3 linked regions of the Canis lupus familiaris genome follow. The main gene of each other region encodes a partner of the protein of the gene in region 2 in a complex. Links are inferred from orthologs where the notes say so. Each region holds a gene or a part of one and is shown on either strand. Other genes may lie near its edges.

Region 1 (7,429 bases), on a different chromosome or scaffold from region 2:
ACATCCAGATTAATGTCCGGAATTTCATTGTAAATTCTCTCATAACCCTAAAACAATAAAATTATATACAGAATTGTTAGCCCAGACGAAACACATAATGCCATACAACCCATCATTGTCATCAAGCTACAGTTAAGGCCTTAAATGTCCATAAAATTAGACTGATCTAATCCAGATCTGATCCTTGAAAAATAGACAGTATGTATATTTTCTTTAAAACTGTTCTCTCAAAAGAGTTTAGGTAGATTTCAGACATTGGACATATTTCTTCACTATCTACTTCTCTATATACACTTACCACACTTTTTAAAAATGTAAGACAAGAATCTCACCAATATGAATAAATTAAATGCTTTAAAGTATATTTGTTAAAAGATCATGTTCATGTTTGTTGCCAGATATAAAATAGAAACTATCATAAAACTTAAAAGCAGAACTCCTGAGGAAGAACAATCACATCTTAAAAAAAAAAGAAAAAAAAAAAAAGTTAAAAAACCCAATAAAGTGTTACGTTCCAAGAAATGGCTACAAGAGGTCAAATAACCACAACCACTAAAAACAAAAAAAACAACACTATAGAAACAGTACTATTAAACATACCTAAAAGAACATTTCATTGACAACTCATAATCTTTATTCAAACACTTGACATTTAAGGTGTAAGTCTAAAAAGTATTCAAAATGTTATACTTACTCTTTTCATTTGGTCTAGAGTAATGGTAGAAGATTTCCAAAGAGATTTTAATAAATCCAAAATCATCTTAAATGTACTTTCTCCAGTTGACTCTAAAACCATTACAATGGCCTAAAAATTGAATGAACAAATGTTTGGTCATTAATTCATGTAAGAAACTGCTCCTAAAATGTATCAGATCACTTTTGTCTGATATGTAATTTTAATCATTACAAAAATTTTTTTAAAAACTTACTCCCTGAACATTAAATTTTTTAAAAAAGGAAAAAAAAAAAAAGACATATACTCCTAAAGAAGCATTCAGTCATGATGGTTCAAAAAGGAACACTTAATAATTCTCTTTGGAATGTCACAGTAATCTTACTTCATATACAAGCTCATGGTGAAAATGAGGTACTTCCAATTCCTTAAGGCAATGTTCAGCTTCAGATATGTCTCCAGAGAGTAAATACTCTTTCAGCAGCATATCAATCTATCAAATTTAAAAATTGAAATGTTAGAATTCTTAATTTTTATTTTTTAAAGATTTTATTCATTCATTTTTTTAGAGAGAGAGTGTGAACGTGCCCATGCACATGTGGCACAGAGGGGCAAAGGCCAGAGGGAGAAAGAATCTGAAGCAAACTCCACACCCAGCACAGAACCTGTGGTGGGGCTCCATCCCACAAATGCCAGACCAGGACCTGAATCAAAACCAAAATTCTGATGCTCAACCAACTAAGTAACCAAGGCACCCCTAAAATTCCTAATTTTTACCAAAAAGAACTGCTTTTTGCCTATATGATTTATTTACTCTCAAAGCAGATTACAAACAGCTGTGTAAGAACATAGAGACTTGACACTATTACAAGTTTTTTTCATAATTAAAAAGTAAACCTCCAATTTTTAAGTGGTTCATAATTATAAAGAGAATACAGTGCTTCAGTGTGTCTTAATGATCACTGAGATCTAGTAGTCTTTAGATGTACGTGGCTTGCGCTGTAACCATAGTACTTCAGTGCTCACTATAAAACAAGGGATTTTAAAGACCACTAGAGGGCACTGACTGAAAGTCTCAAAATATATTTTTAATAAAGTGTCACAAACTTTCACTTCCATCAGGATGACCTTAAACAGTGCACTAGCAGCCAAAAAATGAGTGATGATAATAGAGCTTTACTATACAGAGGAAAATGTTTATATACTTTCTCTTCTCTACAGCTAAGGATTTGAAACCCATTATCTAAGATGTTCATCAGCAATTCTGCTTCTAGTTGTAGCTAAAGAGGCAAGACTTGACTTTCTTGTTCAAACACAATAACCTCTATGACTCCAGAGAAAAGGTGAAAAAGTTTTCCAGCACAAGCACTTCAATCAGAATGTTCTTCCCTATAGTTTTAACTGCCTGTTAAAATCACCTCTGCACCCAGTACATGCTCAATGAATGCAGGCTGTTAAATAATCTCATTTAAGTCTCTTTGACTTCAACTCCTGCGATGTATTTTCATGAAAGGTAAAATAAAATTTGATCAATAGAAAACATCCTAATAATTCCTATTATCCTGCTTTAGGAAAGTAAATATTTAAAGCATGGCATTTGACTAAAGTGTTTTTATTTTATAATTATAAGGTAATACATTTATTATTTAAATTATATTACTTATTATAGTTTTATAACTTTGTTATGCAACTTAAAGTATTTAAATGTTTCCTATCGGGTTCCATGCATTTTTCTAGAATAATTATTTTTTTAATATTTTATTTATTTATTCATGAGAGACACAGAGAGAGAGGGAGAAACCCAGGCAGAGGGAGAAGCAGGCTCCCTATGGGGAACCTGATGTAGGACTCGATCCCAGGATGCCCTGAGCCAAAAGCAGATGCTCAACCACTGAGCCACCCACGTGCCCTAGAATGATAAATTATAAAAACATGTATACATTTCTAAAAGTCCTCTTGGTCCAACTATCCTCCCATGTAAAAATAAATGACAATCCAGATCATGTCAACCTCACACTCCTTTATTGGTAGTTTTATTTCAACTTTTATCTTGACTATTTTTTGGTTGAGATAATTCACATAAAATAGTTTGGCAGTCTCTCAAAATACTAATTTTAGGGGAGTACTGCCATCTTTTTTTTTTTTTTAAGTTTTTTTTTTTCTTAGTAATCTCTACACCCAGTATGGGGCTCAAACTCATAACCCTGAGAGCAAGAGTCACAAGCTCCTCCACCTGAGAAAGCCAGGTGCTCTGACCATTATGATCTTAACGATATTATGTCTTCCAATCCATAAACACAGGATATTTGGATATCTTTCTACTTATTTAGGTGTAATTCATTTCAACAATGTTTTGCAGTTTTTGTGTACAAGAACTGCACTGCTTTTGTTAAATTTATTCTTAAGCATTTTAGTATTCTTTTTATTCTATTGTAAAAGCAACTGTTTCTTAATTTCACTTCATATCATTCATTGCTAGTGTACAGAACTAGAACTGAATATTGTATACTGATCTTATATTCTACAACCTTGAATTCATTTATTTTGTTGACAGTTTGGTTGTTTTCATTTTTTTTTTTTTTTGTAGATTCAGATTTTCTGTATACAGATCATGTCATCTCAGAACAAATAGTTTTACTTCTTCCTTTCCCATCTAGATGCCTTTTATGTAATTTTGACAAACTGCTGATATCTTGACTGTGTTTATACCTCAATCTTCCTAACAACTTGAAAAATTTTTTAAAAGCAAATATTGTGATCATGATATTACAAACACCAGCTTATCTACCTTAAGATATAGAAAAGCAAACTGGTCAAAAATCTGTACTTTCAGCTCCTTAACCCCCAAACTAGAAACGCATATCATTAAAAGATTAAATATCAAAACTCTAGTCACATGAAAAGATTATACTAAAAAATCAGAAGCACATGAGCTATAAATCTTCTAATTTTCTTAACAATCTGCAAAAAGATTAAATACTTTTTCTCGTTTCCTGTTACAGAATATTACTTTATTGCCAGAAAAAAAATCCATAGATAATAAATCTTGCATTTTAATGCAATAAATAATTTTTACTTTTAAAGCATGCATACAAGTAGTGAATTTCCTTACAAAAATTTACTACTCTGATCTACCCTAGTGTTCATAATTCATCACTTATGATCTAAGAGTATCCAGTTTCAAACTATTCATATATAAAAATATAGTTCTTTATTGAATAACTTAGGAAGTCTTATTTTGACAGTATCTGAAAAATTTTAAATATCAATATAAAAAGGATTTCAGGCATTCCTTTGAGGTTCAAATACAGCCCTCCTTTGAAAGCCCTTTTAACTTAGTCTTACTTTTAAGTCAGAAACCATAAAAATTTAATAACAATTATATAATTATTGTATAATTTATAGCACCAGGATATAAAGCCAAATATATGAAGGTTATCCAATTTTCCATCAGTAGCTTTAAGCCTGAACTTAATTTTTCTCTGCAAAAATGCCAGCTAGAGGGCATAGTTTACTTATCTAAAGAAATACATGTAAATTAAGTTAAAGACAATACCCAGTAGTTACCTCTTTAACAAGATGATTAACAGACTGCTGTCCACCTCCAGAACCCCACACGCTGTCTTTGCGCTTTCCACCTTTAGACATACTCAGGAGCACAGTAGCCTTGTCCAGAGCAGCTCTATCAAAAAAAAAAAAAAAAAAAACCACACACACACACACACAATAACAACAAATATCTGTGACAACTTGGACATGTTTGAGGCTGATTTAAAAGTTTTGTTTTTGTTTTTTTTTAAGATTTTATTTATTTATTCATGAGAGACACAGAGAGAGAAGCAGAGACATAGGCAGAGGGAGAAGCAGGCTCCCTTCAAGGAGCCTGATGTGGGACTTGAACCTGGACCCTAGGATCACACCCTGAGCCAAAGGCAGATGCTCAACCGCTGAGCCACCCAGGCATCCCTAAAAGTTTTCATGTAACATGAAAGCAACCTAAAACTCAAAAGTCTTTTAAAAAGCAACTTTTTAAAATAAAAAGTTGGGAGCAAAAAAAAAAAAAGTTACTTTTTTCATTATTCTCATACTCATTTTTATTTCTCAGTCATAAAAAACTAAACTTATTACAAAATAATTATACTAAGAAAAAACATTTTGCATAAAACTTAACTTTTACATAGATCTACGCCTTCCCACCAGGGCAATCATTGTACTCTGATCTGCGTAGTCCTAAAAAATTAAGTTAAGATCTATACCTAAGATCTAATACATGGCTAGGACCAAATCTATGTTTCTAGAAAATTCTAAAAATCATACAGATGACTCCCAAATATTACATTTAGCTTAAATTATACCAAAGACCAAGAGTGAAAAAACACTATTTCCTAATATTGCTGTAGCAGATAAATATAAAATAGGAAATAGGGCTCCTTTGTTAATACTATCCATCTTATCAGAATATTAAATAATTACAGAACGTAAAATCTTGAACAGACCTTAAATATTCTCAGTGCAATCTTCCATTTTATAAATAAGGAAACTGAGGCCCAGGGAAGAGAGGTGTGACATAAAGGTAGCTGATGGTTTAGCTAAGATCCCAAACTTCTACATTATAATATATCTTCTTCCTGTTAATATCATGTCAACAATCTCTCAATTTTAGCAGTGGAGAATGCACACAAATGACAGATGTCTACAATGTCTGATTAATTCAAATATCATTTCAATAAATCCTGTAGAATTTTCCCCTTTTGAAATTCTAAGTAGGAAAATTAATTTACTTACCTAGCCTGTACACAATCTACAGTTCCTTTGTAACTATCAATATAGGTATTACATAAAATTCCATCTCCAACAGCTCTAGCAATAAACTGGCCCACCAACTACAATAAGAAAAAAAAAAGCTATATAAAACACCCTAAAATAAACCTTTACAGGACACAATTTCTAAACACACCAATGATGAAGACTGACTGAATTACACAGTCAATATCTAAGACATGTCGGAACATTCAAAGACATCAATTTAGCACCTGCTAGTTATGGTTGGCTTATGCTCCCACATCTTAACCTTCAAGATAAGTACCATAGGGCAGACATACATCAGTTTTGCTCAATACTGAATTTCCCAATACCTGCCTGAAACATAGTATAGTCAAAAATATTTGTTAAGCCAATGGCCTAAATTCAAGAGAAAACTCTCTTCTAGAATCAAACAAAAACATAGGACTAGGTTTTCTCAAAAATTCTTTGATCAAAATAATTTATTGTATGGAGAAAACTTTGTGTAGAAGTTTCTATCTAAAAGTATATTCATAGAATTATTTATGTTTGTTGTTGTTAAAGTCAGCTCCACATCCAATGTAAAACTTGAGCTCATGACCCTGAGACCAAAAGTCACCTATTCCACAGATTGAACCAACCAGGCACTCCTTTTCATAGCATTATTGCTTACAAAAATTAGAAACGACTCTAGTGTCCAACAATAAGGGTATGGTTAAATGATACATAAGATGGTATACTATGTGGTCATTAGGGAATACATTTACCGCATTTTATGGTGTAAGAAAAATGAAGTTTATAAAATAGCACATACAGTATAATTTCATTTTTAAAACAAAAAATACAAGGATATATAAAAATCATACATGAAAAATCATACCCACAGAAAGTAAAACAGATTTAACACCAAAATGTTAATAGTTAACAATGGTTATTTTTGCTGGCCTTTCTTCCTTTTGACTTTATTTTTCAAAAATTCTATAATATGTATTTATGTAATCAGGTTTTTAATATGAGTATTGCTATAAAAAGCAAAAAAAAGTCCATACCTGAATCATAGCTCAATACCTTACACAGACTACCATCAGTCATAGGAAAGTATAACAGAAACAGAATTAACTGACCTATAACTCTATTCCTAAATTAAACTCCTACCTTGATTTAAAACTTTGGTCAATAGCAGCAATTTCACACATTTTCATTGTCAAACCAGAAAGTCACATTATAGTATCAGCATGTATCAAATCTAATAAAAATATAAGGCTCTGAGGACAGAATCTAAACAGCAACATAAATCATGAATTTTCTAATTTCCCCACAAAGCTATAAAAGAGAACAGACTTATTTATGATTCTTTTTTTTATGATTCTTTTTATAGTAAACATCACTCAAGCCAATTCAATCTTCAATTAGAACAATCTACATATTTTTGAAATCCTAGCTCATACAATAGCTTAATCACATATAATAGAGAATATAAAGACAGCAAAAGCAATGAACTACAAACTATACAGAGCATGGGTGGAAAAGCAAAATATAAAATTATAGTATGATGAAAACTGTGTTTGAAAACGAAAAAGAAAAGAAAAACAGCTAGACAAAAATATACTAAAATGTCAGAGGGCTATTTTTGTGTGGTAAAAAATACAGGTCATTTTGTCCTCTTTATCTACTAAAATTTCCTAGGAACATGAATTATTTCTATAATTGGAAGTGTAGTGGGGAAGAAAATGAATAAAAAGAAGAGCCATACAAACCTGTGGTGCTCTAGGAGTATCCAATGCCAGTTCAGGTAGATCTTTCAATAATTTGTCAAATGATTTTTCTACATCATTTGTGCTCATTACTGTCCCACAAAGGTCAGAAAGCAGCTTAGATGTCATTTCTCTATGACTAGCCTTTCCCTCCAATGCCAAGGACACTGCCAACACTGGTACCCCACTCTTCATTTCACCAAGGTTTAAATCTCTTAGC
Region 2 (7,560 bases):
CGGGCGGAGTGACGTGGGGGGAAGGGGATGTCCTCCCCTCGCAGCCGGGAGGCAAGGGGCGGGACTTCCGGCGCGCCGGGGCCGCGGGGGGAGGCGCACGCGCTCCGGCCGGCCCGGGACACGTGGGCGGGGGCGCGGACCCCCTCAGGGTCCCGGGGGGCGCGGCGGCGTTCCCTGTGGCCTGCGGGGGCCGGGGCCCGAGTCGGTGGAGGAGGAAGGGCTGTGTCCTCGGGGAGTGGAGGCTGATGGCACGGGCGGGACCGCTTGCTGGGGAGAGCCCGGCCGCGCGGATTTCTAACTCGTCTCAGTTGGTGTGCATCTGCTTTCCACCAACAGATCCAGAGACAATGGCCCCGATGGGATGGAGCCCGAAGGCGTCATCGAGGTGAGCCGGGAGCTTTGAGCCATTGTTCCCCCTCTCTGGAAAAGACGGTCTGTAGCAGCCTCCCCTGACCTCGGGAGGGGTGGTTCCTGTCCCCTAACAGGAACCTGTTCCTGTTTCCTCTCCCCAATTCTCATTCCTTTTCGATGATTGGTATAAAGTATCTACGTCCTGGGTTGTACGAACCAGGTTGCCGGAGGAGTCTGGTCTCCTCTCCTGCCCTGTTTAGCCTCTGGTTTCACAAGTGGACTGGCCCTCACTGATTGCCCAGGCCGGGTAGAGCCAGCTGGCTTCCCCAGAGGGAGGAGAGGTGCAGGGATCTGCAGCTCTGGGGCTGGTACCAAGGTGCCCTCTGTTCTGCGAGAACACAGACCCCCGTTTGACTACTGTGATTTTTCTCTGTCCTACAGAGTAACTGGAATGAGATTGTTGACAGCTTTGATGACATGAACCTCTCCGAGTCCCTTCTCCGTGGCATCTATGCTTATGGTTTCGAGAAGCCTTCTGCCATCCAGCAGCGAGCCATTCTTCCTTGTATCAAGGGTAAGCCTCCTGTCCCAGGACAGGTTCTGGGCTGTCCCTAAACTGGGTACAGTGGTATCTGGTTGGTGCCTGTCTCCTATCAGTCGGGGACCGAGCAACTCCTTGTTTATCCAGGCTTGGCTTTTGGTCTGTGTTCATGCCCTGGCCACATGCATGGCTGGTTTGATTTCTGCTGGTACCTGTTTCTGAGCTTTGTGCAGTACTGAATGAGTTAATGTTCTGTGTGGGCACTCTGTTGTCATGGGGTAAAGTCTGTGGAGCACGTCATGCTTGGCACATGGCTCCATCGGCTTCTTGTGGGTAAAGTAAAGCCTTGAACATCTCATGACTCTGAAATGTATGTATTCTCATGTCTTGTTTTTCTCGATCTATTTAGGTTATGATGTGATCGCTCAAGCCCAATCTGGGACTGGGAAAACAGCCACTTTTGCCATATCGATTCTGCAACAAATTGAATTGGATCTAAAGGCTACACAGGCCTTGGTCCTGGCACCCACTAGGGAGTTGGCTCAGCAGGTGAGTATGTAGGCTTTTTTGTTCCTCCCCTGAAGGACTGCTTTAGAAATGTGGTCCTTAAAAAAAGCATAGATGTGTGTTCCTCAGGACCACTATCTATTTAAGAACTGAATGGTTGGGGGGGTGGGGACTGTGTAAAGAAATAAGTTGAGGACTTCCGGATGTTTGAGAGCTTGTTAGGATTAATTACGAGGTCTTTCCTACCCAAACACAATAAGCATTATTTTCTCCACCCATTTCCTGAGTCAAATGAAAAGGTTGCAAGGTGGAGCCTGGCTGGCTGGGCAAGTTTGGTGGCTGTTTTATGAACAAACCCCCTGGCAATGGGCAAAGAGACACCTTGGTGGTGGTGGTGCTCTTATATCAGCCAGGGGCAAAGCAGACGGGCAGTCCTGTGTTCATCCTAGCTTGATGCCTGGATTGGTGGCCAGAGCTGTTTCATGCCTAGGGCACATAAAATTTTAATGAGACCTTTCTTGGGTCTTGGTGGAGAAAGGGTCAGAAATGCTAGTCTCATAAGTAGGATATTAGTTTTATGGTGAGTTTAGGATGATTCTATGCTTATCGGTGAATTGAGGTAAGGTACTGTAAGTGAAGAGTTCTGGAAGAATTCAGTAGGGCCTTAATGTATGTGCAGAACATGCTCTTTTAAAAAAAGCGAACGGGGATCCCTGGGTGGCGCAGCGGTTTGGCGCCTGCCTTTGGCCCAGGGCGCGATCCTGGAGACCCGGGATCGAATCCCACATCGGACTCCCGGTGCATGGAGCCTGCTTCTCGCTCTGCTTCTCTCTCTCTCTCTCTCTCTGTGACTATCATGAATAAATAAATAAAAAAAAAAATCTTAAAAAAATAAAAAATAAAAAAAATAAAAAAAGCGAACGTGTCACCTAGCACAGGTTCTGTGGCAGGAGTTCAGTAGGACACGGGTAGATGGCCTTCCATTCATAAAACTAGTTGGAGTGAGATCAAATCAATGGGTCGTCATGGCTTTTAGAAAGGGCTGTTAGTGTGAATCCTTGTATTCTTAGGAGCCAGACCAAGCTCAAATCCTGAGCCTGCCACTTACTGGCAGTGTGATCTTAAGTGAAGTATCTGCCTGTTTCTTGTCTGAAAAGTGAGTTTAATGGTGCACGTCTGAGTTGGAGAGAACACTAGAAGCATTTTATTTATTTATTTACTTACTTATTTTTTATTTTACTAGAAGCATCTTAAACGGGACCTGCCTTGATCATAGCTCATAATTGGGTACATTTTTTTTTTTCTGAGTCCAGATACAGAAGGTAGTCATGGCATTAGGAGATTACATGGGTGCTTCCTGCCATGCCTGCATTGGGGGGACCAATGTACGTGCTGAGGTGCAGAAGCTTCAGATGGAGGCTCCTCATATCATCGTGGGCACCCCGGGTCGTGTGTTTGACATGCTGAACCGGAGATACCTATGTGAGTCTGGCTGTCCTCTTTAACCCTCCCACTCGTGCCTTCCCCCCCCCCCCCCCCCCTTCGCAGTGTCCTCCTCTGACGGGCTAGCATGCACCTGGGAAAGAGTTGCTCTGTGATGAGCCCATGCGTGTCATCTGAGCCTGGCTTCCCCGTCCTCAGCCCCGGGGAGTGTTCTACTTCCCTGGCCTGTCAGCTGGCCTCGTGTGGGAGTCTTGGCAAAGGATCAGCCTTCGTATCCTGAGAGCAGATCTCTTGTTCCTTAGTGTTCTCGATCAGGAACTTGAAGTTTGGTTTCCTGGTTCCCTCACTACTGTCCATTGGGGTTTTCTCCTCTTGTAGCTCCCAAATATATCAAGATGTTTGTACTGGACGAAGCTGATGAGATGTTAAGCCGTGGATTCAAGGACCAGATCTATGACATATTCCAAAAGCTCAACAGCAACACCCAGGTGAGAAAGGGGTTCACAGACTCTAGTGGGCGGTCAAGGTTTCCTTTGTAGGTGGCTGTGTGGTGGGGGTCACAGCAGCAGCACATGCTGCAGGAGCCACAAAGAATCCGGGGGCCTCAAGCCTTTTCATGCCCTAGCTTCTGCATTAGGCGACAACTTACTTGCTTGCTAGGGGAGGGGGGGCCAGCCTGGAGGATCCCCTACCCCAAGGCTGCTCTTTCCCATTAGGTGGTTTTGCTGTCTGCCACGATGCCTTCTGACGTGCTTGAGGTGACCAAGAAGTTCATGAGGGACCCCATTCGGATTCTGGTCAAGAAAGAAGAGTTGACCCTCGAGGGCATCCGCCAGTTCTACATCAACGTGGAGCGAGAGGTGGGGCCCGGTGCAGGGGGGGGCTTGCCTGGCTGTACATCCCTGGGTAGAGCCCCTCACTGATCTCCTTCCCCCTCCCAGGAGTGGAAGCTGGACACGCTGTGTGACTTGTACGAGACTCTGACCATCACACAGGCAGTCATTTTCATCAACACCCGAAGGAAGGTGGATTGGCTCACCGAGAAGATGCACGCCCGAGACTTCACCGTGTCTGCCATGGTGCGTTCTCTCCCTTGTTCCCCGTAGTGCCCGTGTGCCTGGGCCTCCGAGCCTGTGCGCCTGTGACACGCGCCCTCCCCTCTGGTCCCCACTATAGCACGGAGACATGGACCAGAAGGAGCGAGATGTTATCATGAGGGAGTTCCGCTCGGGCTCTAGCAGAGTACTGATTACCACTGACTTGCTGGTGAGTAGGGAATGGAGAACCCTGGGAAGGAGGGAGGACCCAAGCTGATTCCCTCTCCAGGGGGCTTGCTTGTGCCCCCCTCAGGAAAGTAGCAACTTGGAATAAAATGTGACATGCCTCAGGGTGCTGGGAAGAGGGGCTGCTGTTTCCTTTGCCTTCCCTTTGGCTGCCTACACACACAGCGGTCCCTGCTACGCGCACTGGTCCCCCACCCTTCCTCCTGCTGACCTGTCCTCTCCCGACCCAGGCCAGAGGCATCGATGTGCAGCAGGTGTCTCTAGTCATCAACTATGACCTTCCTACCAACAGGGAAAACTATATCCACAGGTAAGTGCAGATCTAAAATGTTCCCTCCCCCAGCCCTGAGCTCAGGCTCTGTCCTGCCCCCATCCTGAGCCAGACTGAACCTGTCCTATTCTCACCAGAATCGGCCGTGGTGGACGATTTGGCCGGAAGGGTGTGGCTATTAACATGGTGACAGAAGAAGACAAGAGGACTCTTCGAGACATCGAGACTTTCTACAACACCTCCATTGAGGAAATGCCCCTCAATGTTGCTGACCTCATCTGAGGGGTGGTCCTGCTACCTAGCCTGACCCTGGCCTCAGTCTGGGGGGGGCAGAAGAGCAGGAGGGGGGAGGGAAGGGAGCCAAGGGATGGACATCTTGTCATTTTTTTCCTTTTTTTTTTCTTTGAATAAATGTCACTTTTTGAGGCAAAAGAAGGAACGTGAACATTTTAGACACCCTTTTCTTTGGGGCAGGCTCTTGCTCCAGGCGCCGTCTCTTCTCCCAAAAACACTAATCCATCTCCGTAACCTAGTCAACCTCCAAACCCCAGAGGCTCTCCCCCACCCCAGCTACGTGCCTCTTCAGAGGCTGCCAGGGGCCATAGTGTCACTCAACCTCATTTGCTGGACCAAATCTGGAGAATCCCAGAGTTAAATGGCCCAGAGGATTGTCCCCAGGTGGGGGGGAGCAGGGGAGAAAAAGTGGTAGCCATTTTTACATTGTTTTGTATAGTATTTATTGATTCAGAAAACAAACACAAAATTCTGAATAAAATGACTTGGAAACTGCCTGTTTGGGCTTCTCATTTCTTGCCTCCCCTTCCCTCCCACCTGTGTCCCAGGGCCTCCCTGGCTGGGGCCACCACTCCACCCCCAGTTCATAGTCCCTCAAGTTTCCCTTGGGTTTCCTTTTTTTGTTATCCTCTCCCTGCTGACCCGCTAGTGGGGTAGCATTTGTTGGCTAGTGACCCACTCTAAAGGCCAAGACGCAAGCACCATCATAAGTGCCTCACATGTTCTGTCAAGAGGAAGTGACAAATGGAAAAGAGGGAATAGAAACACTTAACCCCTAGAACTGGAGGACATAAGCAAGGGGTGGGGTGCTGTTCCCCGCTGGTTCTGTAACCCCTCCGGCCCACCAAACAGGCTGAAGTAGACAAGTAGGTCCGCAAGGACCAACTGTCCCCAAACTCCGCATCTACCTGTGATATTGAGGCTGGTGACCCATCCCCTCACTTGGTGACGGGTTCAATGACTAAGTGATTGGTGGCTGGGGCTGAGGTGCCTGAGTCAGGCTGGGGGTGGACTGGGCTGCCACAGGAAGTCAGACACTTAATTCCTCTTCCAAAAGAAGGCAGAGGCTACAGGCTGGTGTTGAACACACCGTCCCGCACCGACTGGGGTGAGGCCGATCGGTTATGAGGCCAGCCGTGTTTTTCTTGGGGGCCTTGGTGGGGCTGCTAGCAGGTAAGGGGGGGCCCGAGGGGAAGGGGCTCAGGGGGACACTGCCCCATTGCTAACCAACCCTCCCCTCTGCTCCAAGCCCAGGGGACCCGGAGCGACTGTCCCCATAAAAAGTCGGCCACCCTGCTGCCCTCCTTCACGGTGACCCCTACGGCTACAGAGAGCACAGGAAGCCCTGGGACCACCAGCCACAGCACCACCACCGCGGAGACCACCAGCCATGCGCCCAACACCACCACTCACCAGGCCCCGACAACCCCGGGGCACAGAAACACCACCATTCACCCAACCACGAGCAACAGCACAAGCAACACCACGGGCACCACGGGCACCGGCAAACCCCACACCTCCACCAGCTACACCCAGCCGGGGCCAGGGCCAAGGCCACCACCTCCCAGTCCCGGCCCTGGCCCCCAGGACGCCATAGGAGACTACACTTGGACTACGGGTTCCCAGCCCTGCGCCCGGCTCCAAGCCCGGATTCAGATCGGGGTTGTGTACCCAACCCAGGCCGGAGGCCAGGTAGAGCCACCCGTGGGGGCAGGGGTGAGGTCGCTCACCGCACTGCAGAAGGAAGAAGAGAGAAGGGGGCACGCAGGGAGGGGATGGAGGAAACAGGGAACCCCGGGCGGCTGCAGCCTTCAAAACCTCTTTTTAACCGCTACAGGCCTGGGGCATCTCGGTGCTGAACCCCAACAGTACCAAGCCCTGGGGGGACTGTGACGGGGCCCGCCCCCATCTGCTTCTCTCCTTCCCTTTCGGGCAGCTCAGCTTCGGGTTCACACAGGTACCTCCCCACCCCGGCCCCCTCGTGTCCCCCTATCCCCCCACCCTTTGCTGTGCTGGGGGCTCCGGCCACTCTCAGCCTTCCTGGTCGCCTTCGCAGGAGCCGCAGCAGGGTTCAGTCTACCTCGACTACCTGGCTCTGCAGTACAACGTGTCCTTTCCGCAGGCGGCGCGTGAGTCACCCGCCCTCGGGTCGCTTGCCCTGAATGTCCGGGCTCCTGAAAGGGGATCTAAATCGGGGTGGCGGGGACAAGGCTCCAGAGCTGACCCTTCCTCGCTCTTTCAGAGTGGACATTCTCAGGTCAGAACGCATCCCTCCGAGCTCTCCAAGCCCCCCTGGGCCAGAGCTTCAGCTGCAGAAATGCAAGCATCCTTCTTACGCCAGCTCTGCGCCTTGACCTGCTCCACCTGAAGCTGCAGGCTGCTCAGCTGCCCCCTTCAGGGGCCTTTGGGCCAAGTAAGAACTAGTCCTCCCTCCTAGAAGGCTCCCACTGCTCTGACGGCCACCCGCCTCCTTTATGAGATCTTGAACTTTCCTTTCTCTCTCAGCCTTGTAGCTTTAGGGCAACTGCCCTACTTCCTCAGCAGGACTCTGCCCTCTTTCCCTAGGAGCTTCGAGGGCACTCATCACTCTACTTCCCCATGTCCCCCCCACGCCTTCCTCCCATCCTCCTCCCACCTGTGCCCCACCACCACCCTGATGCCTGCCCGCCCTCCCTTTCTGCCAGGTTTCTCTTGTCCCAGCGAACACTTCAACCTGCTGCCCCTCATCGTCGGCGTGATCTCACTCGGCCTCCTCGCCCTGGCGCTGGTTACATTCTGCATTATCAGGAGACGCCCACCCACCTACCAGCCCCTCTGAGCATGTCCCCATCCTTGATACCAGTATCAAGCTTGGCGGGGGGGGGGGGGGG
Region 3 (7,429 bases), on a different chromosome or scaffold from region 2:
CTTGTTTAGGAGACTCCCGAACCCATTCTTGGGGTGTTCCCTTTCACTCAAGGAGCCACAAGATGCAGACATGTGACTGATTATATCATGTCTGCAGTGAATGTGATCTTTGGCTGAGGCCAAAAAATGCGCTCCTCTCACACACAGCGATCCCATCGTAACAGTAATGACATCTGTATCGAGACAAATGGCTGATGATAAAATCTGAAACCCGAAAGAAATGCGCCGGCCACACAATATTCTAACATGCCTTCAAGTCTAAGCGGGATTGTTCAAACACTGGAGACCATCGTGGCACAGGACAGTTCTGTGGGCGGTGGCTCTGCACGTTAAAATGAGCTAACACACAAATGTAAAGGCAACAAAGGTGACAGCTTGATTAGGCCCTTCTCTTTGGGAAATCTCAGAGTTACCTCCCTCTGCACCTGTATTTATCAGCATCACGACACGACAGTCGTGCCTCTGCGTACGTACCCTCCTTTGGGGATGGGAGAGACCCAACCTGTAGTTACAGCTGCAAAATCTCCGAATCGGCTAATTCTCTCGCCAAAGGACATTGAAAAGTGGGAAGGGTTAGGGAGGGAAGGGGAGGGTACCACACCTCTCTCTGATTTCCACCTTCTCAGGTTCACATTCTGGAACCTGCATCTCATCTTCCGCCCCGGCGGACTTGAAACCTTCCATATTAACTGCATGCTGCCCTTCTGCCACTCCCCGGGTGTCTTCCTCCTCCTCCTCTTCCTCCTCCTCTTCCTCAGGAGGAAACTCAATGACATCACACTCGTCATCTGACTCGGAGGAAGAGCTTTCATCCGAGCTGGAATCATCACTTGAAGTTGTCTCATACCTAGGTGGCAATTGGGAGTTCAGGAGATGCAAGGTGCGCCCAGAAAGACCCCGGGACAGAAATTCTTACGCAGGGAAAGCCGCTAACAGACTCCAGACATTTGACCGGTGGCTTTAGACTCTGCATTTAGAAGTTCAAAGGAAGGTCTATTTAAAAATATGGTGGCTTTGAATGGGTTCTGACCTGAAAGGGGTAACATGTGTTGCCAATTGGTATCGTTATACTACTTGCAGGAAAAAAGAAATACATATATATAGCATGTCTGGCTTAGTGCAGGTCAAAGGAAACTTACTTCACGAAAGCCAAGTCTGCAGTGGTTCATTTTTTCTGTTCCTTTTTTTTTTTCCCCTTACATTCTTCCTATTTTGCTCCATTAATCGTCCCAGTGTCATGATGAACAGATTACCAGTGAACAGATTACATAAGTAATCAAGAGTTCCTCTGGTACATGTCCCGCTCCCCGCAAACCTCCTGGGCCACGCTACCCAATTAAGCTTCAAAGATTCAGAAAATAGGCCCCATGAAGTTAAATGTCAATCGTACGCTTTGCTATCAACGTTATCTCAACTAACTGCATCACTGCTTTCGTGTCGAGGCCGAGGCCGTGTCCAGATTAACAGATTAGCTGCTCTGATTCAACTGCAGGAGGGCAAACAGGCTTAACTATTTATGTGGCCCAATGAGAAGGAATAGACAGCCAATCAAACATTCTGGTTAGAAGGTAAACCACTGACGGCACAGCCAGATTATGGGTCAGGGGACAGGACCTACAATTTTGTACGTAGGCATGGAGAGCGAAGCCAAAGAACCCATTTTGAAGGAGTGGATGCCCGTCACCGGCCCGTGGAGAGATGCTCTCGCCTCTTTCTGTTGGTTTCTGAGTCTGACACGGGTAAGACCAAGCTGTCCAACACCGCAGGACACCTGCTGCCTGCGGCTTTTGTTGAAGACTACCATTTTCAGACCAGAGGCGGGAAGATGCCAACCGCTCAGCGTCACCAGGTGTCCTTTCGAGAGTGGCATATCCTTAGAGACAGCATGGAGAGGAGAAGAGAGAAGCCCAGTGCACCTTTCTGAGGGGCTCATCCGTCACCAAGATGTGGCTGCAGCCCATCCCGGGCCCCTCTGAGTGGGACGTGAGAAGACAGGAGGCCCAGGAGACAGACAGAGCACATACAGACCGCTGGTGGGCCATCTTTCCTTACCCTCCATTAATGCCGACAAACTGGAGATTCTTCTTCGCTCCATTTGAATCTCGGTTGCCATCCTTCTTCTTCATGATAGACTTGAGTGTGTTTTCACTATTTGTACATACTGCGAAAAGGGGAATCAAGCGGAGCAAAATGAACACAATTCACACCCATCCAAGTTAAGGGAGCAAGAAATCTTTTTTTCCTCACATTCATTTTTTTTTCTCTCATTCACGTAAATCTAGGATAGATCGTGGCACGTGCATATGAGAAATGTGCCCAGAATCCACTGGAAAGATGTATGCGTGTAAAGAAAATAATCTGCAGTTCTTTAAATGGGAAACTCCCCCCCCCATTAGTACTTCTAGACAGAACAAAAGCAGTGACAACTAGTGTTTAAATCAGGCTCCACTGTTTTTAAAGTGAAGTCGTATCTCACTGAGGCCTCAAAAACCACGAAGGCACAAAAATAGGGATTGTAATTGTTCTTTTCCTCCAGCTGAGATAATCTGGGGAAAAATTATGCCTGCCAGACAGCGAAGGAGTGAAATGCTATTTAAAATATTTCACAACTTTTTAAAAAAAAAAAAAAAAAAAAAAAAAAGGGATCCCTGGGTGGCGCAGCGGTTTAGCGCCTGCCTTTGGCCCAGGGCGCGATCCTGGAGACCCAGGATCGAATCCCACGTCGGGCTCCCGGTGCATGGAGCCTGCTTCTCCCTCTGCCTATGTCTCTGCCTCTCTCTCTCTCTCTCTCTCTCTCTGTGACTATCATAAATAAATAAAAATTAAAAAAATAAAATAAAATATTTCACAACTTACAAAATCTGAGGAGTTTACTTCAGGGGACGGCCCACTCCCCTCTGTAGCCATCTTTTTAAAAGATATTCTAAGCCAACCTTTCTAACACTTCTCAGGTTAATGGCTCTTCCAGGTCCATCTATGAGGCACTCGGCCATGGACTGCAGCGCCGGTCCCGGGATCCCCTAGCCGAGAAGGGCTGAGGGGGGAAGTTACCATAGAGGCCGGCGGCGATCTGGTCGTCCGTCAGGTTCACGGGGGACAGCGTGCTCTCCTGAGGGGGGAAGGCGTCCTGGCCGCCCGGGGGTCTCCCTTCCGTGGGCCCCACCGCCTGCTCGTGCCGCGACGCCTGACTGCTGAATGGAGCTCCTGCCGGAAGGCCTCCGCACCTACAGGTGTGTTCCAAACTTCCTGTCAGGAAGGAAGGTGCAGAAGCATGTGACGGAGGGCCAAACAAAACGGGCTAAACAAATTTTTAAAAAATATTTTTGCAACTCCTCATTTTCTCAAGTGCCTTTCTCTGTTTTCTTTTTTTAAATTTATTTTTAAGATTTTATTTATTTATTCATGAGAGACACACACGGAGAGAGGCAGACACACAGGCAGAGGGAGAAGCAGGCTCCCCTCGGGGAACCCGATGCAGGATTTGAACCCAGGACCCCAGGATCATGACCTGAGCCTAAGGGAGATGCTCAACCACTGAGCCAGCCAGGTGCCCTCTCCCTGTTTTCTTTTTTGCATATAGGGCAGTCCTATGGAAGCCACCCAAACCCCACCCCAAGGCCTTCCTGACCCTTACCCTTCCCTTTGTCTCCACATCCGGGTCTGCCCAGGCCTGTCCGTCCACTCCCTCTCTTCTCTCTGCGCCTGGTGCCCCCGCCCAGCCCGGGGAGGACCCTCAGCGCGGGATCCTGATGGCCCTCTTCTTCTACCACAGCCTCTCAAACACACAGCTGCAGAGTGATACCCCAGCCCCACAAATCCCAGTGCAATCCAGCTCCAACAGACTTGTGCAAAGCTGAAAAACATTGCTTTCTGCTCAGGAAACGCCACCCACACTACTTGGCCACATATTCTGGACCATCCACAAGCTGGCTCATCTCGTTACCTCTCCACCTTTATTTCCCACTACACCTGGGGTCCCCTTGGTGGGCAGGACTGCCTTTCTCCCCAGGAATGGGATGCTGAGGGTGGGGGTCTTTCATCTTCCTGACAGCACGTCTCAGGGTTTGCTGCTCTACTGGGAACACTTCTTGCTCCCCACCTTCGTGGGGTCAAGCCCTCCATCACCCTCTCTTCTGAGCCTTCCCCAACCTAACTAAAAATGGCTTTCCTTCCCCTGCCTCTCCCAGGCCAGCTCTCAGACCCTCTTAGAGGATCTGGAAGACAAAGTGCTAGAGGACTCATGGGACTGCCTGAGACGCCCTTCTGTCTGTAAGGATTGTGAGGGCACGAAACCATTCGAATCAACTTTCTCTTCTCACAGCTACTAGAAGGCTTTTGTGTATTTTGGGTACTTAGTACTTGTTCCCTGACTAAAGCAGAAGAATCAGATTAGTTAAGTGCATATAATTAATGTCATAAGAATATCACGATATTTCCAATGTGGCTGACACGGAAAGATTTTTACAATGTATGGCATGAGAAAAGCAGGTAATAAGATTCTACATAAGTGATCCTATTAAAAAATATAAAAAAGTTATCTGGAAGCTATGGAGATTTTAACTTGTCCCTGTATTTGACATTTTTTATTATTTATTCATAAGAGACACACAGAGAGAGGCAGAGACATATGCAGAGGGAGAAGCAGGCTCCCCGTGGGGAGCCTGTGCAGAACTTGATCCCAGGACCCCAAGATCTTGACCTGAGCCAAAGGCAGATGCTCAACCAATGAGCCACCCAGGTGTCCCGACATTTTTTTTTTAGAGCAAATAATAACTGTGTTCAAAATCATTTTAAAAACTAAGAAAATCCTTTGACTAGCAATTTGCTTCTAGGAATTTTATCCTAAAGACGTACAAAAAGATACAAAAGGATTTTCATTGTCTCCATGAGTAAAACAGTGGAAAGAGGGAGATATCACAGAATGTCAACAAGAAACTGGTGAAATAAGCTCTGGCACATTTATATAAATAAATTCTATGCAGCCAAGAAAAATTTTGATGTAGGTGGACATTTTTAGCACAGAAAGAAAAGCATAATGTGTGAGTTTTAAAAACAGGTTATTAAATTGCTTGGGGCAAATAAACCTATTTTGGCGAAATTCTATTTACATGTATATATATTAGAAAAAGTCTGGAAGGACACACAGCAAACCTGTTTATGCTTTTCTAAGGCTAAAGAATTCTAGATTGTTACAATTTTTTTCTTGTGTTGATTTCCTAAAGTATGCATTATAAATATGTTATTAATACAAATAAATTTAAACCTACCCACAATGTCATATAAGAATATGATCATAACTCTTTTTAATGCTCTGAAATTGCTTACCTCCTCAGAAGAAAAGAAATTTAAATACTGATTGTATTTTGAGGCAATTAGGAAAAAAGGAACCACCATAGATTCTACAACAGTTCTCTTCACACTCTACTGTTATGAATGGGCTGGGATATTTGCTAAAATGCAGATTCCTAAGCACCTGCTGCCATAAGACAATTCTGTACATCTCTGATGAGCCCCCAGGGGTGGGCGTTTCTGACATCCCCACCGACCTGTCCACAAGAGACTCTGATGCACGCGGCCCACTATGGAAAGTACAATGACCCTCTGATTTAAAAAAAATGTGGAGGGAGGCAAAACTGTTCATAGTAAGACATTAGAAATCACCTAAATTGTTTTTTTTTAAGATTTTATTTATTTATTCATGAGAGACACAGAGCAAGAGAGAGGCAGAGACACAGGCAGAGGGAAGCAGGCTCCATGCAGGGAGCCTGACTTGGGACTCGATCCCAGGTCTCCAGGATCACAACCTGGGCCGAGGGCGGCGCCAAACTGCCGAGCCACCCAGGCTGCCCATGTTTTTAAAAAAGATTTTATTCATTTATTCACAAGAGACACAGAAGGAGAGACAGAAATATAGGCAGAGGGAGAAGCAGGTTCCCTTTGGGGAGTCCGATTGGGGACTTGATCCCAGGACCCGGGGATCACACCCTGAGCCGAAGGCAGATGCTCAACCACTGAGCCACCCAGGTGACCTGAGATCACCTGAATTTTAATTCATATATCCAAGCTAAGAATTCTGAACTTCGCAGCTAGACCAGAACCCACATTTCCTAATATGTGAGCGGGTATTGTGTCTGAGAATCAGTAGCACAAGTGGCCTTGTCCAGCTCTGTAGGCAAGGGGCCTCCCAGGTGACCCCACAAATCCACCTCCCTCCTCGGCACACACCTGCAACACTGAATGGAGCCCTCCAGATAATATTTAGTGCTCCTGTGACCTGATGTGCTCCCCCAACAGCAAAAACAAACCTCTGAGACTCCCTATGACTTACTCTGAGCAAAGTAAACAAAGCAGAGCATCTGCCTCTGTTCCTCCGTTCTCCAGCCCCACTCATCAATGTGGCAAAGTTACCTCCCCAAGGGCTCAGCAGTACAAATCCCCACGTACCAGCACACTTTTCCTGGAGAGACACTCTTGCTGAGCACGTTCCTATTCAAAACCAGCGAGGACTTTTAAAATGCAAATACACCAACAGTTTTTTTTATTATTTTTGAAACCAGAGACGTACAAAAGCAGACACCAGTATAACGAATCCCCGCGTGCCCATCATGGGCTTCAACAGCCATCAGCACTCTCCCTGGCCCCAGCCAGCCCCCTCCACCCACTCACACGGGAGTGCTGTGAACAAGAACTAGAGGGCAATGGCTCCGTCCATAATTATTTTAGCATGTATTTCTCAAAGAGCTCTTAAAAAATAATTATAGTGCAAAAAAAAATCCTAATTTTTTTTAAAGATTACTGCATATTTGGTCAGTATTCAAATTTCTCCAAGGTCTCAGAAAAAACTTTTGTCAGATATCAGAATCGGGATCCTTGTCACAAATTTCCACTGGTTGCTCTGGGTTTTAAGCTTTTGGATCTATAGATTTCTCTTTTTTCTTTTCCTTTTTAAAATTTGTTAAAAAGATTTTATTTATTTGAGAAAGAGTGAGCTTGAGAGAGCATAAACAGGGATAGAGGCAGAGGGAGAGGGAGAAGCAGACTCCTCGCTGAGCAGGGAGCCCGATGTGGGGCTTGATCCCAGGACCCCTGAGATCATGACCTGAGTGGAAGGCAGATGCTTACTTAACCGACTAAGCTGCCTACGCAACCCTCTTTTTAAAATTTAAATACAGCTTTCACAAGATATTTATAAGTTGAGGTATAATTTATATACAAGAAAATGCACAACTGTGGAATTGATGAGTTTTGGTAAATGCATATACCTATGTAAGCACCCTCCTCATTAAGATACGGAACATTTGGGACACCTGGGTGGCTCAGCAGTTAAGTGCCTGCCTTCAGCTCAGGGCGTGATCCTGGAGCCCTGGGATAGAGTCCCACATTGGGCTCCCCTCAGGGAGCCGATTTCTCCCTCTGCCTGTGTCTCTGC

Evidence for each region.
Region 1: the proteins of EIF4A1 (region 2) and PDCD4 are in contact, whole or in part, in a crystal structure (PDB 2ZU6), measured with the Homo sapiens proteins. The link is inferred for Canis lupus familiaris from reciprocal best matches to the Homo sapiens genes EIF4A1 and PDCD4. Residues at the interface, in NP_001407.1 of Homo sapiens: Gln75, Thr109, Arg110, Glu111, Ile135, Gly137, Val140, Thr158, Gly160, Arg161, Asp164, Glu186, Leu188, Ser189, Arg190, Gly191, Phe192, Gln195, Ala214, Thr215, Met216, Pro217, Glu240, Leu241, Thr242, Asn280, Thr281, Arg282, Arg283, Thr329; in NP_055271.2 of Homo sapiens: Pro170, Gln173, Glu174, Glu177, His178, Glu183, Glu186, Met187, Asp190, Leu209, Glu210, Lys212, Glu249, Leu250, Leu252, Asp253, Thr254, Pro255, Arg256, Gly320, Gln321, Gln322, Ser323, Val324, Leu327, Glu348, Lys352, Glu355, Val356, Pro357.
Region 3: the proteins of EIF4A1 (region 2) and KANK1 are in contact, whole or in part, in a crystal structure (PDB 7DDX), measured with the Mus musculus proteins. The link is inferred for Canis lupus familiaris from reciprocal best matches to the Homo sapiens genes EIF4A1 and KANK1. Residues at the interface, in NP_659207.1 of Mus musculus: Lys99, Val140, Arg141, Val144, Gln145, Lys146, Leu147, Gln148, Met149, Glu150, Ala151, Arg168, Arg169, Tyr170, Ser172; in NP_852069.4 of Mus musculus: Gly1168, Asn1169, Asn1171, His1175, Tyr1176, Val1178, Asn1201, Lys1202, Ala1203, Tyr1205, Met1209, Leu1210, Leu1213, Ala1214, Ala1215, Gln1240, Ala1241, Leu1248, Ser1251, His1252, Arg1254, Asp1273, Glu1274, His1285.

The regions. Positions count from the first base shown.
Region 1 is NC_049249.1:22,441,440-22,448,868, reverse strand, and holds part of PDCD4 (programmed cell death protein 4), read right to left. Parts: coding exon 7,213-7,429; intron 5,557-7,212; coding exon 5,459-5,556; intron 4,356-5,458; coding exon 4,241-4,355; intron 1,167-4,240; coding exon 1,059-1,166; intron 806-1,058; coding exon 695-805; intron 48-694; coding exon 1-47. UniProt on the Homo sapiens protein: Inhibits translation initiation and cap-dependent translation. May excert its function by hindering the interaction between EIF4A1 and EIF4G. Inhibits the helicase activity of EIF4A. Modulates the activation of JUN kinase.
Region 2 is NC_049226.1:32,703,967-32,711,526, forward strand, and holds the end of EIF4A1 (eukaryotic initiation factor 4A-I), read left to right. Parts: intron 1-336; coding exon 337-385; intron 386-792; coding exon 793-925; intron 926-957; exon of another isoform or gene 958-1,078; intron 1,079-1,301; coding exon 1,302-1,441; intron 1,442-1,753; exon of another isoform or gene 1,754-1,898; intron 1,899-2,712; coding exon 2,713-2,881; intron 2,882-2,988; exon of another isoform or gene 2,989-3,126; intron 3,127-3,220; coding exon 3,221-3,330; intron 3,331-3,558; coding exon 3,559-3,702; intron 3,703-3,783; coding exon 3,784-3,921; intron 3,922-4,018; coding exon 4,019-4,108; intron 4,109-4,145; exon of another isoform or gene 4,146-4,286; intron 4,287-4,355; coding exon 4,356-4,435; intron 4,436-4,533; coding exon 4,534-4,678; 3' UTR 4,679-5,186; downstream 5,187-7,560. Other genes in the region: CD68 (macrosialin), read left to right, coding at 5,815-5,863, 5,940-6,382, 6,528-6,647, 6,747-6,819, 6,933-7,103, 7,375-7,508. UniProt on the Homo sapiens protein: ATP-dependent RNA helicase which is a subunit of the eIF4F complex involved in cap recognition and is required for mRNA binding to ribosome.
Region 3 is NC_049222.1:90,275,940-90,283,368, reverse strand, and holds part of KANK1 (KN motif and ankyrin repeat domain-containing protein 1), read right to left. Parts: intron 3,247-7,429; coding exon 3,052-3,246; intron 2,162-3,051; coding exon 2,053-2,161; intron 848-2,052; coding exon 602-847; intron 1-601.